Linked DNA regions of Arabidopsis thaliana. The protein of the gene in region 2 purifies or fractionates together with the protein of the main gene of each other region. This does not show direct contact. Each region holds a gene or a part of one and is shown on either strand. Other genes may lie near its edges.

Region 1 (4,991 bases), on a different chromosome or scaffold from region 2:
TGCTTTACGCAGTCCTCTTTGTTACTAAGCAACGATGGGTTTTGGAGTTTCCTATCATTCAGGTTTTGTGTCTTTGCTTCTTGATTTATGGAATGTTTCATCAATTTTGTATCTTTGCTGATTCTTACTTGTGTTTTTTCAAAACAGCGTCCACCGTTCTTCAGCTTCAAGATTGGTCTTCCTTCGGCTCTAACACAAGCTTTGAAGCTATCTGGTGTGCTTTATGTGTTGTCGACGATAATGCTATTGTTTCTGCTAGACTGGTCAGGTGGGCTTGTGTCTGTATCGAAATTTTTGGGTGAGCAGGTCTTATCTTATGCCGGCAGTTTCTGTTTGATTCTCTCTTGGGAAGTCACTCACCATATACATAAGGTTAGTTAAGTTTTCTCTGTTGATTTGCTATTGATAGATGTAATTGGTTGGTCGTATAGCCGTTTAGATTGGTGGTATAGTGTTTAGTATTTTAAGATCCCTGTAGCTTATTAGTGAACATAGTTGAGGTTAGCACTCAGTATTACTTGAGTGATGCAAAACTTAACTGAGAAAAATTTGAAAAGACGACAAGTTAGCTGTGTTTGCAATCAAATGTTGCATTGATAGTATGTGTAGAATTGTTTTCCTGTTTTGTTAGTCATTTCTGTCTTTACTATTTATGTTTTGGAAGCCTATACCAAGGTCTGTCTGTCTTCTGTGTATGTGGATCAGTTCAAAGAAGACTCATATAAATTTGTATCGATATGTTTACTTTTCTTGAATAACTTAACTCTATTCCTACCTAAACAACTTTAAGTATTCATCGGTGAGTTTGCTCTGTGTATTACTTGTTACATCCATAAACTTCAGCTACTTTTCCAGGTTCTAGATACAAAAGAAGTTAGTTATAATTGTTGTTTTCATATCCAGGTTCTGCACACAAAACGGTTCAGCTTTGCTCCTCCAAAAGGATCTGCTGCAGCAGAAACGAATCCAAGCGAGCCTCTTCTTGCTGCTTTAGAAGGGAGCGCTCCAGGTTCCCTCGAGCAGTCTCTTGCATACCTTGATCTCTACATGGTGTCTCAGAATAATGTTGACACATGGCGTCGTGCTGCCTTCTTTGAGGAGTCCACCGAGACGTACAAAAGAGTAATTACTCTATGCTTGAGGCCTTTGGAAGAGCTTGCCTCCAAGTTAGCTTCTGGGCTAGACCACACCTTTACTGAAAAAGGTTATCAGACACCACTCCAGCCACCAACCGAGTCCTTTATTGATCCAAAATTCGGCGAATCACTTAAGTCTTTCCAGGTAAAACGAAATTCAAATTTTGATCCCTTTTCTATGTGATAATTTCTTCATGTAGCTGTAACCAAAATCTGTTTGCTCTGTATCCGATATTTGCAGCTATATGCATGGTGTGCTCAAACATCTGCATCCCTGACTTCAATCTCTCACAAGGAAGACAGGCTCGGAGTAGCTCAACTGTCTGGTGGAAACGCTGATGTTGTCTCAACACTTCTATCGCTTTTGCTAGCTATCGAAACGTTTATGGGGAAGAAGACTAATCTTCAATCACCTCAACAACTGATGGGACCTGCTAGTATCAAATGGGCGACCTCGAGTATGGTCAGAAAAGACGTTAAACCCATCAAAAGGAGTATTGGCGCAATGTACGCCTACGCATATGCAGCGACAGATGTTTTGAGGATATCAGTATACCAGATTCTATCCACATTCCGCGATGAAATGCTCAACAGCGACAGAGCCGGACTTCTTGGTAGAGATTGGATTGGAAGCAAGAAACCACCTTTTGGAACAAACGACATGCTCCTACAGAAGCTTAAGCTCTTCCTCGAGTTCCAAGCTTGATGGAAGATTAAAGAGGTACAATTCCTCGATTAAATGTGGTAACAAGTGTCATCATGATTCAAGAGCTGGATAGAAAAAGGAACTAGAGTATTTTGTTACATGATCAAAAAGCCTTGTATTGGAAAATGAAATCCCTCGATTTTGCAGAAATTTGGGATTAATCTTGTTTTTGGTAAACTAGAAAATTATATAAGAATCAAACTTTAATGGTAAGTTTTGCATCTTAAATCTTGATTACATAAATTTTGCAGAAGACTCTCTATATGCTTAACAGTAACTAACTCTTACGCAATTTACGAAGGAAACCAAAATTAGAATCTGAAATGGGCCAGAGATTTATTAGGGCCCATGGCGTGGCTAATAGTAATATCGAAGGAGAGATCGTGACCGTTGGATGATGATTAATATAATAATTGTATAGTGGTTAAAGCTTAGATTGGCTACATTACACATCGCATTTACTTAAAGGGCAAAACCCTCCAGCGCCGCTTGGATCTCTCTCTCCTCTGTTCTCTCTTCCCTTATCTTCTTCTTATACCCTTCGACCAACGAAGAACCCTAGAAATCGATTAACAAGGTAAGCCCACTTCAGCAAATCGTTCACTCATTTCATTTCCAAGATATTCGATTGTTTCCTTCTGATTTAGCACAAGGGTCAAGATCATTTTTTTGTTTTTGTTCTTCCTCGATTCATATGTTTTTTTTCATTGATTACTGTTTTTGATATTGGTTATCTTGTTTTCCAATAACTTGTTAGTTAGTTAAAAGTAATGTTTGTGTAATGGTGACCTAATCGATTGAAAAAATTGAAACTTTAGGTTAAGCTCATTGTAACAATACGAGCTTTGTTCTTCTCGCTGCACTGTTCTCATAATCCTAGTGTAATCAATTTGTGGGTTGTGACTATTGCTCAGTATTACTGTTTTTGTCATTGGCTAATTAATAACAGTATTAGTTATTGTATATGCTTAATTTATAAGATACATTTTGGGCTAAATGGGTTTAGCTTTGTGTGTTTGTTTTGAAAAACAGATGAATAGGGAAAAGTTGATGAAGATGGCTAACACTGTCCGCACTGGCGGAAAGGGGACAGTAAGAAGGTATACTCATTTATGTCTTTTCTGTGAATTTGTGTTTTTGCCATTTTTCATGTTATATTCTCTAAACATTTTGACTCTCATTTCAGAAAGAAGAAGGCTGTTCACAAGACCACTACAACCGATGACAAGAGGCTCCAGAGCACTCTTAAGAGAGTTGGAGTCAATTCCATTCCCGCCATTGAAGAAGTTAACATTTTTAAGGATGATGTAGTCATTCAGTTCATTAACCCTAAAGGTAAAACATCAAATTTTATGGCTTTATAAATCTCAGGTTTCGTATAAAATTTATTGTATTAATGGTTGTTGTGTCTCTGTTTTAATGTTGCTATCACAGTTCAAGCTTCAATTGCTGCTAACACATGGGTTGTGAGTGGTACACCACAGACGAAAAGTAAGTGTTTGTATCCTCATTGTTGATCCAATACTATTCTCGGTTTATGCATAGTCTAATCTCGGAATGTGAATTATCCTGCAGAATTGCAAGACATTCTTCCTCAGATTATCAGCCAACTTGGTATGCAGCATTAAGTGTTACACTCTGATGTCCTTTCCCAAACCAGTGGTCCCTTAAGTTAACATTTTGTTTTCTTGCTTTGATAATCGCAGGACCAGATAACTTGGACAACCTGAAGAAGCTAGCAGAGCAATTCCAGAAACAAGCTCCAGGTGCAGGTGATGTCCCAGCAACAATCCAAGAAGAGGACGATGATGATGATGTCCCAGATCTTGTAGTGGGAGAGACTTTCGAGACCCCTGCTACTGAAGAGGCTCCCAAAGCTGCTGCTTCTTAGAGGAGGAGGAAGAAGAAGGAGAAGAGCTCACCTGCAAAACCCATCATAAAAATGTTTGTCGCTCGACCTCTTCTGAGCACTGTCAGATTCTTGTTTTCTCTAATGCTTGCGAACAGAAAGACTTGGTTTTATTATCACTTGATGCTTTTTGGTCCGAACAGCAATTTTCCTTTTATTAAGGTTAGATCGCTTTTTGTTTACCACCTGTTCAAATGAGTACTACTATGTCCTGTCGCTTCATACACTTCTTGCAACACAGTCCTTTGTTTTGAGTCAACGATGTCTTGAGATGAACAATCAACAGTTTCGTACATTTAAATGGAAATTCCAAAGATTTTACATATTTCCAATTATTGGATGTAAACATTCCATAGAAATACAACACTCTGAATGCAATCAAGTAATCATGATTGTTTCGTTTTCGATCTCTTCCGCTTTCCCCTGTTGTGCTAGTGTTTCGTAAAGCGGAGCGTTTCGAGTTTCTCGTAGCCAGAGACTCACGATGCCGCTCAGCACTGATGCAACACCAAACACGATGAACGACATCATTGCGCTTTCCCTTCCTAACGCAACTAGCAGTGGTGCTGCAGACGCTCCTAGCATAAACGCTTGACGCAAAAGTGAGACAGCAGTGTTCCTAACGTTTGTTGGGAACAGCTCTACGCAGTAGACATATAGGACGTCATACGCTGTCGAGGATGCCATGAACCCAACCGCCTCAACTGCAAGTTGTAACCATTTTGCCACAGATATCGCACGGATCACGCGGTGGATCGAGAGAACCGCGCAGAGCAGACACGCGAATCCGGCGAGGTATGATGAATTCGAGAATAGTGGACGGCGGTTCATGACCCCGAGGAGGAAGCTTCCGATGAAAACCGCTGGAAACTCCATCAGAGCGTTAACAGCAACAGTTAAGTAAAGATTGAAGTTGAGATTTTCAGCATTTAGTTGAATTCCATAATAAACAAAGCCACTGCCAAATCCAGCCATCATAACCATTATGATTCTTTTCACTGCCCATTTTGTTTTCCAAAACTTCTCCGATGATGAAGTTTGATCATCTCTCTCTGGAATTGGATCGACTAGGCTTAGATCCGCCGGAAGTTGTTTCCCGTTGAGCCTCGCGAGTTTCTTCAAGACCACCATGGCTTCTTTATTACGTCCCTTGACAAGAAGCCATCGAGGAGACTCATAAGCAAAGGGCAGGAGACAAACCGCGTATCCAAGAGGAAGAAAGGATATGATCCGGTAAAGA
Region 2 (3,214 bases):
AGTTAAACCTTTTTGACGAGCCTCAAAGTAGCGGGTGCGCCGCAGTTTCCACGTTTAAGCGTGTTATTCTTACAGTCACCAGTGGGTTGGCCATAGTCGGCGAATTTTATCTCAGAGATAACATATCCTTCACCACAAAAGATGGGCGATAGATCGACGCTAGGCGCCGGATGATCAATGCATATTGGCAGTTGATTCGGTCGATATTCTCTTGGATTTAAACGATAAGAACCGTTGATGATATTCCTTGTATAAAAACAAGACACATAAGAAACGGATAAAAGAAGAAGCAAAACGATGAAGCCATGACGATGAAGAGAATGTGTAGTTTCCATTTTTATTCTAGTTTTTCGTTCCCTTCTAAATCAGAAGGGTGTTGAAAAATGCTAAGATGGTTTAGTACGTGTAGTTAAGTATAAATATGTAATGTTTTGATATTGATATATATGATAATATTAGTAATTAAAGTTTCTTAGAGATGCGAATTTGTGTGCGGATGTGGCTGCGAAGTTTTCTATAATTAGGTTTATCATATTCCTACGAGAATATTAAAACAACTGTTTTTATTTCGCAAAGAGAACAACAAATTTTCACACTATCTATTTTAGAATGTTCAATCTTGACAATTTGCATTTATTGCTTGATTATTAATTATGATACAAGTATAGAATATCAAAATTCAAGTGTCATATAATTAGTTTCGGATTAGTAAACTTCAATTACCATAAGAAAAAAAAAAGGAAGGATTTGACTTCACATATATTCAAGAATTGCTTCAAAAACAAAAACATCAATCTTCAGATTTGGTTAGCATATACTAAAATCCAACAATAGATCGTCTCTAGGGTAAAGATACAACAAACATTGGTTTACTTATGCATCAAGAAACCAAAAGAAAAGAAACAACAGAACAAACAAGAAATAGACGAAGTAATCATCTAACATCGCATCAAGAAAACCGAAAACACTAAAGAAGAAAGAACTTTGAAGATCCACTTTCATTCAAAAGCCCATTGATTCACCTTGCGGATCTCAGCTTCTCCCTCTGCTGTGAAATCGTTCTCGATATTGAAGTATGAGCGAATCTCGCCTGGAGTTTTGCCTGAGAGCAAATCAGCGACAGTTTGAAAATGTGAGATCAAGAAGGCTTTGGATATTGAGATAATTCGCAGCCATCATAACATCAAAGAGAATCGATTGTTCCATCTTCTTCATGAATTCAGCGTCCCACTTCTTTAGATCTTCTTCTTTGCTCTCAACGACGTGCTTCTTGCAATACTCGATCACCAATAAGAGTATCTTGCTTGTCACGTTTGGAAGAGGGATTCCATTATCGGCACAATCGTCTTCTGCCATACCCTTTATCATCATCGGAGCTTGTCAACACGATTATCTTCTTCGACATGGTTACTTCGTTATGGGGCGATTTTACTCTCTTAGCAATTTGATGAAAAAGATGGAAGAATAATGAAGTAACCAAGTTATGAACTTATGTGCTCGTTTATTTATAAGCCCTAATTGTCAGAGTCGGTGGGATATGCATTTTCAGATTGGGACCAAAACTTACAACGGGCCCCAATTTTGCAATGTGGCCCCAAAACTTGATCAGATTTGGATTAAAGTGTGTCAAAAGAGGAAAAAGAATGGAATTGGTTGGTGTTTTATGTGATTTGTTGTGATTCTCACTTAAAAGATTTGGTACGTGTCAGTCTTCACATTTTTTGAGGAGAAAAATATTGAGTAACCTATAAACAGTTCGATAAAATATGGCAAAGATGATTGATATTGTATGGCACATACACATTTGGGGTTTGCAACAAAGAGAAAAAATGTAACAAACGTGTAAAGTAGGAAACAAAAGCTTGACTAGGTCGATTACATAAAGAAACTTTAACTTGGAAAACAAGAAAAAAACTAAGTTTTCTACAAGTAGCGTCAATAACGAGACTTAAGCTCCCTTGCAGTGGCTCGGACCAAAAATCTTGTCTGGAACAAACAACTTACACTTCTCTTTCCTAAGACATTTCTGCACAAACAAACGATAATAATTAATAAGAACACTATTTGAAAGAAAATTTGTATTTTTGATTGATTTTGTATACCTTGTTGACGATATTTAAGGTATTGCTTGCACCGCAATTACCGCGTTTAAATTTCCCACAACTACCAGTGGATTGGCCATAGTCGGCGTAAGTGATCTTTGAAATAACATATCCTTGTTCGCAATCGAAATCCAATGCGATTGGTTTACCATCCTTAGCCTCTTTATGAGTCGCGCACATTGTGTATTCCGCTGACTCACTAAGAGAGGAATTAATGGAGCTAGAGAGACTACGTTTCTCGTCTCCGTGAAAAGAAACGTCTATCTTTGAAGCGAAACTAAACACGAAGGAAAGAAACAGAACAACAAGCAAAATAAAGCCATGAAGACAACGGCAATGTGAGTCTCCCATTTTGTTGTTGGTGTTGTGTTCTCACTAATAATCAAAAGGAATATGAGAATGAGGACTAGGCTATTTATGGATAATTTTTATATACATTTGAGTTATAATGTGAATGTGGTCGTGAAGTTTTCTCTCCATTTCTCACTCTCCTTCTTCTTGGCTTTTGGGGGAGTTAATGAATAACAATCCTTTTGACTTTTCTACGATTACTTAATAACAGGTTTGCATTTTCAGTAGCAAAAATAAGTAAATATCATTGATTTTTAAATTGTTTCCTAAATAATAGGTTATAGGTTATAGTTAATCACATAAGACTTTTTTAGTTTTGTACAATTTTTGTGACTAACTATTTTATAAATTATTTTGCATAACTTTTTATATTTTAGATATAAGTTATTATTTGAAAATTTATTTCATTCCTATAAATTACATTTTTTCATTTTGCTTAGGGGTTTATAAACTCTAGGTTGGTGCCACATCGAAGCATGACTTGCTCTTATAGGTCTAGTTGTTGAACTATCACCGCAACATTTGATAAACAATATTAGGAACATGTATGAAAAATCTGTAACTATGGCAAGTATCAAAAAGTTTTTGACAAAACAAGTTCTTGTTCTAGAAAAACTTGTCCATACTCATGAAAACTCAAACAAATCTGTCTCAAAAGTTCCGAAAACTATGTAAGTGTCATTTTTAAATCTTGTCTTCTTACAAATTTCATTTATTTTTAACTAATCATACTTATAAACGAATTCTTATAGGATATACCT

Evidence for each region.
Region 1: the proteins of SK6 (region 2) and AT1G73230 fractionate together in Arabidopsis thaliana (co-fractionation; one large-scale study listed by BioGRID). This does not show direct contact.

Annotation. Positions count from the first base shown.
Region 1 is NC_003070.9:27,539,248-27,544,238, reverse strand, and holds AT1G73230 (Nascent polypeptide-associated complex NAC), read left to right. Parts: upstream 1-2,286; 5' UTR 2,287-2,419; intron 2,420-2,874; coding exon 2,875-2,942; intron 2,943-3,028; coding exon 3,029-3,177; intron 3,178-3,276; coding exon 3,277-3,333; intron 3,334-3,417; coding exon 3,418-3,456; intron 3,457-3,548; coding exon 3,549-3,733; 3' UTR 3,734-4,011; downstream 4,012-4,991. Other genes in the region: AT1G73240 (nucleoporin protein Ndc1-Nup protein), read left to right, coding at 1-62, 148-372, 904-1,281, 1,378-1,842; OCT1 (organic cation/carnitine transporter1), read right to left, coding at 4,130-4,991.
Region 2 is NC_003074.8:19,668,323-19,671,536, reverse strand, and holds SK6 (SKP1-like 6), read right to left. Parts: upstream 1,372-3,214; coding exon 1,114-1,371; downstream 1-1,113. Other genes in the region: AT3G53050 (D-galactoside/L-rhamnose binding SUEL lectin protein), read right to left, coding at 1,949-2,026, 2,103-2,453. UniProt on the Arabidopsis thaliana protein: Involved in ubiquitination and subsequent proteasomal degradation of target proteins. Together with CUL1, RBX1 and a F-box protein, it forms a SCF E3 ubiquitin ligase complex. The functional specificity of this complex depends on the type of F-box protein.